Linked DNA regions of Cricetulus griseus. The protein of the gene in region 1 interacts with the protein of each later gene in a pairwise test. Links are inferred from orthologs where the notes say so. Each region holds a gene or a part of one and is shown in the gene's direction. Other genes may lie near its edges.

Region 1 (3,561 bases):
TGGTGAGTGTCAGGGGGTGGGCAGGGAGTACTGGCAGTTCCTCATGGCCCTTCATGGTCCCTTTCCCTTTGATAGGATTTGCGGGAACGCCGGGCTACCTGTCCCCTGAGGTCCTTCGGAAGGAAGCATATGGGAAACCTGTGGACATCTGGGCATGTGGTAAGACCTGTGTGTGAGAGGCCGTTGGGTTGCATGATGAATGTGTGGTCGTGTACCTCAGGGCTTACTCCCTCTGTCCCAGAGTGTGCAGGTGGCTGGCTTGTCCCACCCTGAGCCAAGTGTGTGTGTCAGACCTGCATTTGGGCTGCCTTGGCAGGGATCTCAAACCCCAACTAGAATTACCAATGTGCCCCAGGCCATTATGTTTGTCTGCCTGTGCTCATTATAGGTCTGTGTCCAGAGCAAGTGGACACCAGGATACAGGGACCAGGGGCTGTCAGACCACAGGCTCCTTAGGTGGGATCTTCTCTTTCTGGTGGGCATATAGCAGAGGCGGCTGGTCAGGCTCCCTAGTAAAGTAGGGTGGAGATGGAGCAGGGATTAGAGGCTGTTAGAGCCATGCTCCCCATGGCAGGGGAGGGGCAAGGGGACACTGAGGACTGACCCTGGTGCCCTCCAGGGCTATGCTGCTCACCTCCCCATCCACAGGGGTGATCCTGTACATCCTGCTGGTGGGCTACCCACCTTTCTGGGATGAGGACCAGCACAAGCTGTACCAGCAGATCAAGGCTGGGGCCTATGATGTGAGTGGGTGCCGGTGCGGAGGGTGGGGACTGCCACATCCCGGTTCTCCCTTCCTCTTCATGGCCTCTGCCTGGGGAGGGGCTTCAGCCTTGCCCTGTGCACCACTTCCTCCTGTAGTTCCCATCTCCCGAATGGGACACCGTTACTCCTGAAGCCAAAAACCTCATCAACCAGATGTTGACCATCAACCCTGCCAAGCGCATCACGGCCCATGAGGCCCTGAAGCATCCATGGGTCTGCGTAAGTCATCCTTGGCAACCTCTAGGGGCCAGTTCCTGGTGGGCATATCCAGGGCCCCCAAGATAGCTCTGGGGGTCTGTTCCTCGAGTCTGACCACTCCCCTGGTCTGCGAAGGACAAGACTTGAATTTGGGAATAAGTTGGGGACTGCAGGTGGGAACAAGTGATCTCTAGTTGTCATGGTGGCTGGCAGCACTCAGTGTGCAGGCCCTAGAGTGCCACTACCAGGAGCCAGTCTCCTAAGCCTGCTCCTCACTGCCCTGTGACTTCCCTTCTCCTGACAGCAACGCTCCACAGTGGCTTCTATGATGCACAGACAGGAGACTGTGGAATGCCTGAAGAAGTTCAATGCCAGGAGGAAGCTCAAGGTAAGCATGCCTCAGCCCCCATCTGCCTGTCCCAGGGGGCCCCATGCTGCATGTGGGACATGGAGAAGAGTCGTAGGGAGGAGCCCCCAAATTTGTGCCCATTTACAAGTCCAGGGACTCCAGATGCTGTGACAGCTCAGAAGGTCATGGCCCTGCACGAAGAGCTGGCCACTTCAGCATCCTAGGGACAGGTGTACTGGCCAAGAGCAGTCCTGGTGGGCTCAGCAGGTTGGGGAGGCAAGTAGACAGGGCTGATCCTGATCATTGCTGTCCAGTCAAGGCCAGGGCTAGGCCCACGAACCTTTGCTTGCTTGATTGAGTTTCTCCAAAGTCCCAAGGATAGCCCTGACTGCTCTGGGCCAGAGGAGCTGTCATGGTGGCAGGCCTTCCTGGTCATGCCCATTTCTCAGGAGTCTTGATGCTGTGATTGTGGGTAGTGTGAGCCTTAACTATGGACATGGTGACTTGCCTCTGTGCTGCTAGGTTCTGGAACTCTTACTTCTCCAGAAGGCTGGTGTGTGTGTGTGTGTGTGTGTGTGTGTGTGTGTGTGTGTGTGTGTGTGTGTGTGTGTGTGTGTGCGCGCGTGCATGCGTGCGTGCGTGCATGCGCGCGCAAGATACAGAAACTAACAGGGTGACTCTGTCTCTGTTTCTCCTTAGGGAGCCATCCTCACCACTATGTTGGCCACACGGAATTTCTCAGGTGAGACACTCTTCTCCAGGGAGGACCATGTTTCAGAGCCACTCTCATTCTACAGAAAGCCCCCTCCTTCCTCACCAGCCCTCAGTCCCATTCCTCCAAGCCCTCACCTCCAAGACCCACTTCCCAGAAGGCCTTTTGGCTTCCTCATTGGGTAGCTACTAAGGTCTGCCACGCTCCAATCCCACCACCTCCATGTTGTTGGGTCTGTGTCCCTCACCTGACGCCCCAGTGTCTGTTCTGCCGATACCTGGCCTGCCGCCTGTATCCATCCAAGCATCTGTTGGGCAGCCCTGTGGCCTCCTTGTCCTCGGCACTCGAAGCATCGTGTTGTGTGTGGGAGATAGCTGAAGACGGGTGGGTGCAATTGAGGTCCGCGCACAGGGAAACCTCATCAGTTCTGGACGGGCCGCCTACCCAGGTTGTTCAGGGTGGGTGATGGGAAAATGAAGTCTCAAGGGTCTGTTAGAGACCCATGGGACCCACCTGGGGAGACAGTGTTGGCCCTAGTGCCCAGACAGCTATGTCTGTGGCTTCTTCGTCGTCTGACACTAAGTGTGCGAGCGTTCATGGTCGTCTCTCCTTGTCCGTCTGCATCTGGTACCCTGCCTCCTGTTACTTTGCTGTGATGCTGTACTGCCGGGAATGGGCACACAGTCACACCAACACTAATGGGACTGTCCTGTCTGCTGTGTGCCCCGCATGCCCCATCGGGCACAAGAAGCCCCGTTGGGGTGTTCTAAGGAGAAAGGAGGCAAATGCTTTTCCGTGTCTATCGGCCCAATCTTGTTTCACTCTCCTGAGAAAGGGATTCTGGAGCCATCCCCCACCTAAACTTTAACTCTAATCTTCTTCTGCTTCCTTTGTCTCTTCTCTTTCCTCACCTTGCCCCACCCCGTCTGTGTCCGCCCCCTTCCCCCCCTCGTCTCTAACCTGGTGCTAACAGTGGGCAGACAGACCACCGCTCCGGCCACAATGTCCACCGCGGCCTCCGGCACCACCATGGGGCTGGTGGAACAAGGTAGATGTGTCTTGCCCAGTGTCCACCTGCTCCTGCCCATCCCTCCTGTTGGCATGCAGCCCCCCTGCTGCACGCAGCCACTGGCCAGGCCCCCCAGAGCCTCCCCAGAGGCTGGCAGCCCCCTGGGAGCTCTGCTCCTGCCACAGTCACATCCCAGCAGAGCCCCCACCCTGGGCAATAAGGCTTCCCCTCGCTCCTGTCTCATTGTCTGTAAGAGGAGAGGCCACATCAAATCCCAGATGCATTTGGCTGAGACCCTCTGGTCCTGGCCTCTGGGAGTCTGGAGACCCAATTCAGAATGACACTGACCTCACAGGAAGTCACTGAACCTGCTACTGGGGGGTCTCAGTCCTGGAAGGGGAGCCCTTAGATCAGGGTTAGGGAGGTAAGGATGTCCCAAGGAGCTGTAAGGTCCAAGGCCAGTTCTTCCCTAGGGGCAGATGGATCTGGTGGTCTGTGCTACGGAGTTCCTCAGAGTGAATGTGGGGA
Region 2 (4,272 bases), on another chromosome or scaffold:
AACAAACCCACGTCAATACCAGCTGGGCATGGTGATCTACCTGTAATTCCAGCCTAACAGAGGAACCCCAGAGCAAGCTGGCTAACAAGACGGACCATACCTGCAAGCTCTGGGTTGCGTAAGAGACACTGCCTCAGTGTTAGGGCAGAAGAGCAATGGAAGAGGATCAACATCAGCCCTCCACATGCACATGCACACGTTTGCAAGCACACCTACTCACCCACACCCACACTGCACACACAAGGAAATGGAAAAAGAAGGAAAAACAGTGGAGGGTTGTGAGAGGCCGTTCAGGGCAAGCTGATAGGGTCTGGAGGTATATGCTATACAATAAGCTGCCTTTTGGCCTGAGAGAAATTGTAAAAAGAACCAAAGAATCCTCCTGGAATCTGAAGGATCTCAAACACGGATTTAGTGGATAGTTACTTCAAAGTAGTCTCAGTCTGGGGGCTGGGCATCAGCTTATGCAGAACTTTACACTCTGGACTATTGTGGAAAATAAAAACTTAAGCCTACAATTCGTGGAGCTTCATAGCTAGATGTGCTCAAGGAGAGTCAGTCAGAGTCTTCCAAGGCCGTTGCTATACCAAAGAGCATAGGTACACAAGGTTGCCCAAGGGAGTGATAACAAAGGCTTCAAAACCCCAGGCTTCAAATGCCATTCACTAGAAAGCAACGAATGACAAGTAGCCCTGGAGAGTTGGGGCAGGATGCAGAGTGCTGAAACACATACAGTAAAATCTGCTTCTAATAAAAAAACTGAAGGTCAGGGGAGCAATAAAGTATGCCCAAGGAGCTGCCAAGAAATCATGTTTGATTGGGGTAAGGTTGCAAAAAGCTGATCCCTTTCCTTTGTACAAATAACAGTAACTGCTTTCCGGGTTCAAGTGTTGTTCTAGGCAGTGTGCTATTGAGCTGTCACAATTAATTCCGAAAGGCATCTATAACATCCGTTGTACAGAGGATGAAACAGGACATTCTAACCTGAACCCAATTCTGTCTGATATGGCTCAAGTTCTTAGCCAGAAAGAGCAGCGGTCTGTCGGTTTGTTCCCACTCCATACGTGAAACTACATGAGGAACAAAAAGACCCGAGGGACTCCCACTTGGAGTCCCTTGCTTGCTCCATTTCAAACACTAAGATAATACTGTGTCCGACAGATGGCGACCCAGAGCACAGCTAACAGCAGGCGCAGAAGAAGGCGCCGAAACTACACAGCCCACAATGCCGTGCGGAGAATCAAGGTCCCGCACTCCTGTTTGGCTGTCTAATCTAGTGCCTGTGCGCACTCCTGAGGGTTTGTGTGGACCGAAGCCGTACAGGTTCTCTTCCTGTCTTCATAGCGCAAAGTTTAGATATTTTTGATTCCTTATCCCGTCTTTGGTTGGAGAGTTGTGTGACTGAAACTAGGCTGTTCTTTGCTGGCCTCACCCTAGCCTAACGTGAGGACCCGTGACCTCTGACCCAAAATGGCAGCGCCCAGAGCGTAGCTCTTGCTGCTCCAAGGCGAACTAAGACTGAAAATCCCGCATCATGTCGAAGCTAAGCCGAGTCTCTCGGGCCCTCAGGAAGCCGGAGGCTGGTGGCGTGGTCCGGGCTATCGTGCGAGCAGGCCAAGCTATGCCTGGGCCCCCACTAGGTCCCATCTTGGGGCAGGTGTAGTGTCTGGAACCGGGCCCGGGGGACACGGAAGGCGGTAGCGGATAGATGGGAAGTCGCGGCTCTTCGCACCCGCACGCCTTGTGTCTTTGTGTTGCTTACGTAGCCTCTGTTGACCTCAGTTTCTCTGACCCTTCCCAGTTGGCTAGTTGCTGATTAAGTGGGACCTTGTGGACGAATCGTCCAGACACGAAGCTGTAATTGAATCCGGATAGAAGAAATATAGGAACACGGGAAATGAAGACGAAGGAGGGAAGGGACGGGCTCCTGGGTGGTAGAAACCCTTTAACTCCTACACTTAACTTTATGCTTTCCTCATAGCGAGGCGTCTCTATCAACCAGTTCTGCAAAGAGTTCAACGAGAAGACAAAGGACATCAAAGAAGGCATTCCCCTGCCTACAAAGATTTTTGTGAAGGTGCAGTCTCATTGTTCTGTAGTCTTCTTTGGCGCTTAAAACTAGTCGCCCGGGGTTGCTTCTCTGTCCCTAACCTGGTTGTCACTCTCCACTTTCCTCATCTACACAGTGAAACCTCAACCATAATTTCTCTGAACCGTCTTAGTCCTACCATATTTTTTTAAAGATTTTATTTATTATGTATACAACATTCTGCTTCCATGTATATCTGCACACCAGATCTCATAACGGATGGTTGTGAGCCACCATGTGGTTGCTGGGAATTGAACTCAGGACCCCTGGAAGAGCAGTCAGTGCTCTTAACCTCTGAGCCATCTCTCCAGCCCAGTCCTACTATATTTTGGCTCATATCTTTCATTTCATAGATGTGTGCTATGGTTTTGTGGTGTTAAAGACACCACAGGAAGGCAAGTTGATTTGAGAAGAAAAGGGACATTACAAATTCCCTGAACCTGAATAGAAAACCAAGAAATTCTCAATATCTTTCTTTCTATCAAGCCTGACAGGACATTTGAGCTTAAGATTGGGCAACCCACTATTTCCTACTTCTTGAAGGCAGCAGCTGGGATTGAGAAGGGGGCCCGACAAACAGGTAAGGACTAGAGTGGGTGCCTGAGATTCTGATGTGTCCAGAAAAAAAAGTAGTGACAACTGGAGCTTGTTCCTTCTTCCCAGGGAAAGAGGTAGCAGGCCTGGTGAGTTTGAAGCACATATATGAGATTGCCTGTGTCAAAGCTAAGGATGATGCTTTCGCCCTGCAAGATGTGCCCCTGTCTTCTGTTGTCCGTTCCATCATTGGCTCTGCCCGTTCCCTGGGCATTCGTGTGGTGAAAGAGTGAGTATCCTGAACGGTGCTGTGGAAAGGAAGCTCCTATTTGGGAGTAAAGTGAGAGGGCCCATTATAGTGAAATAGTCAGGTTTAAAAAAATTTTATAGCATGTATTAGTTATACATGATAGCTTTCATTATGATATTTTTATACATGTAGAGTTTTTGTTTTTTTGTTTGGGTTTTGTTTTGTTTGTTTGTTTTTTTGAGACAGGGTTTCTCTGTGTGTCCCTAGCTGTCCAAGAACTGGCTCTCTGGACCAGGCTGGCCTCGAACTCAGAGATCTACCTGCCTCTGCCTCCAAGTGCTGGGGTTAAAGGCATGTGCCACCACTGCCCGGCTACATGTAGAGTTTTTAAGTCGAAGGACCTGAGATTCTAGCAGAAGGATATGGGTGAAAGCCTCTTCTGTTCATTTGGAATATGCTTCATAAGCCCCTGTTATGTGCTAGACATGGTTCAGCACATTGGATATAACCAGAAATGAGCAGTAGTATTTGGCCACTCTGGAAAAATGTATAGTCCTAAGGTAGAGGCAGATCCATACATAGAGAATTAAACTGGCATTTGGTCAGTGTTGTTTAAAAAATCAGTGGATGTCATGAAAGCAGAGAGGAGAGTTCCTGCTTTTACCTGGTGTGTCAGTGAGGACTCTTTGAAGGAGATGACATCAAAACAGCCCAGGAAAAGGAGGGTAAAGGAGCAATGTTCCAAAAAGTGGGAAAATTGCAGTGAATAATGAGAGGTAAGGGGCTGAAGCTACAGGAGTCTTGTCTAGAGGCCGAGTGGGGCATGATCTGAAGCAGGGAGCAGTCGGGGAGGATCTTTTGAGCTGTCTCACATTCAGACTCCATCCTAAGGCCAACAGCTGTCCCAGTCAGCTGGCTTTGGATGATCTCAGGAATTGTTTACTTGAAGTAAATTGTAAGTGGGAGAGCATTTGACCCAGACCATGTCAGAGACTGGAACAGGGACGGTCATCACAGGCCTCTTCGCTGCAGATGTTATACTCCACAGCAAGGCTGGTATTGGCTGATCCTCAGGGAGGCAGTGTAGAGCACAGGTGGCCTTGATGTTTCTTCAGGTCCTTACTTTGTGGGGCATAGAGGGGAGTGTCTACATACAAGCCTATGACTCCCTCATGTGAAGTGTTTGTGGCTCAAAGGAAGGTCTAGTAAATCCCAGTAGTAGAGTAGAGGCCACTGGTTAAGTAGGCCCTTAAGATGGGAATCAAAGCTATGGGAAGGTGGAGTATGTGGTTGTCTCCGATATCTCACTGTATGGATCCAGGTAGAGGAAACCTGAGCAGAGATATGGGAGTTGGGAGTCCAGAGAGGGGAAGGGCAGCTGGGGTCTGTGCTAGGACCC

Evidence for each region. The genes of interacting proteins can lie anywhere in the genome.
Region 2: the proteins of Camk2b (region 1) and Mrpl11 interact in binary tests that used the Homo sapiens proteins (3 or more experiments, as listed by UniProt). The two-hybrid records come from large-scale screens. The link is inferred for Cricetulus griseus from reciprocal best matches to the Homo sapiens genes CAMK2B and MRPL11.

The regions. Positions count from the first base shown.
Region 1 is NW_023276807.1:98,857,899-98,861,459, forward strand, and holds part of Camk2b (calcium/calmodulin-dependent protein kinase type II subunit beta), read left to right. Parts: coding exon 1-2; intron 3-75; coding exon 76-159; intron 160-648; coding exon 649-743; intron 744-861; coding exon 862-984; intron 985-1,267; coding exon 1,268-1,351; intron 1,352-2,011; coding exon 2,012-2,054; intron 2,055-2,997; coding exon 2,998-3,072; intron 3,073-3,561. UniProt on the Homo sapiens protein: Calcium/calmodulin-dependent protein kinase that functions autonomously after Ca(2+)/calmodulin-binding and autophosphorylation, and is involved in dendritic spine and synapse formation, neuronal plasticity and regulation of sarcoplasmic reticulum Ca(2+) transport in skeletal muscle.
Region 2 is NC_048596.1:54,326,609-54,330,880, reverse strand, and holds the start of Mrpl11 (39S ribosomal protein L11, mitochondrial), read left to right. Parts: upstream 1-1,444; 5' UTR 1,445-1,534; coding exon 1,535-1,657; intron 1,658-1,981; coding exon 1,982-2,077; intron 2,078-2,575; coding exon 2,576-2,669; intron 2,670-2,752; coding exon 2,753-2,912; intron 2,913-4,272.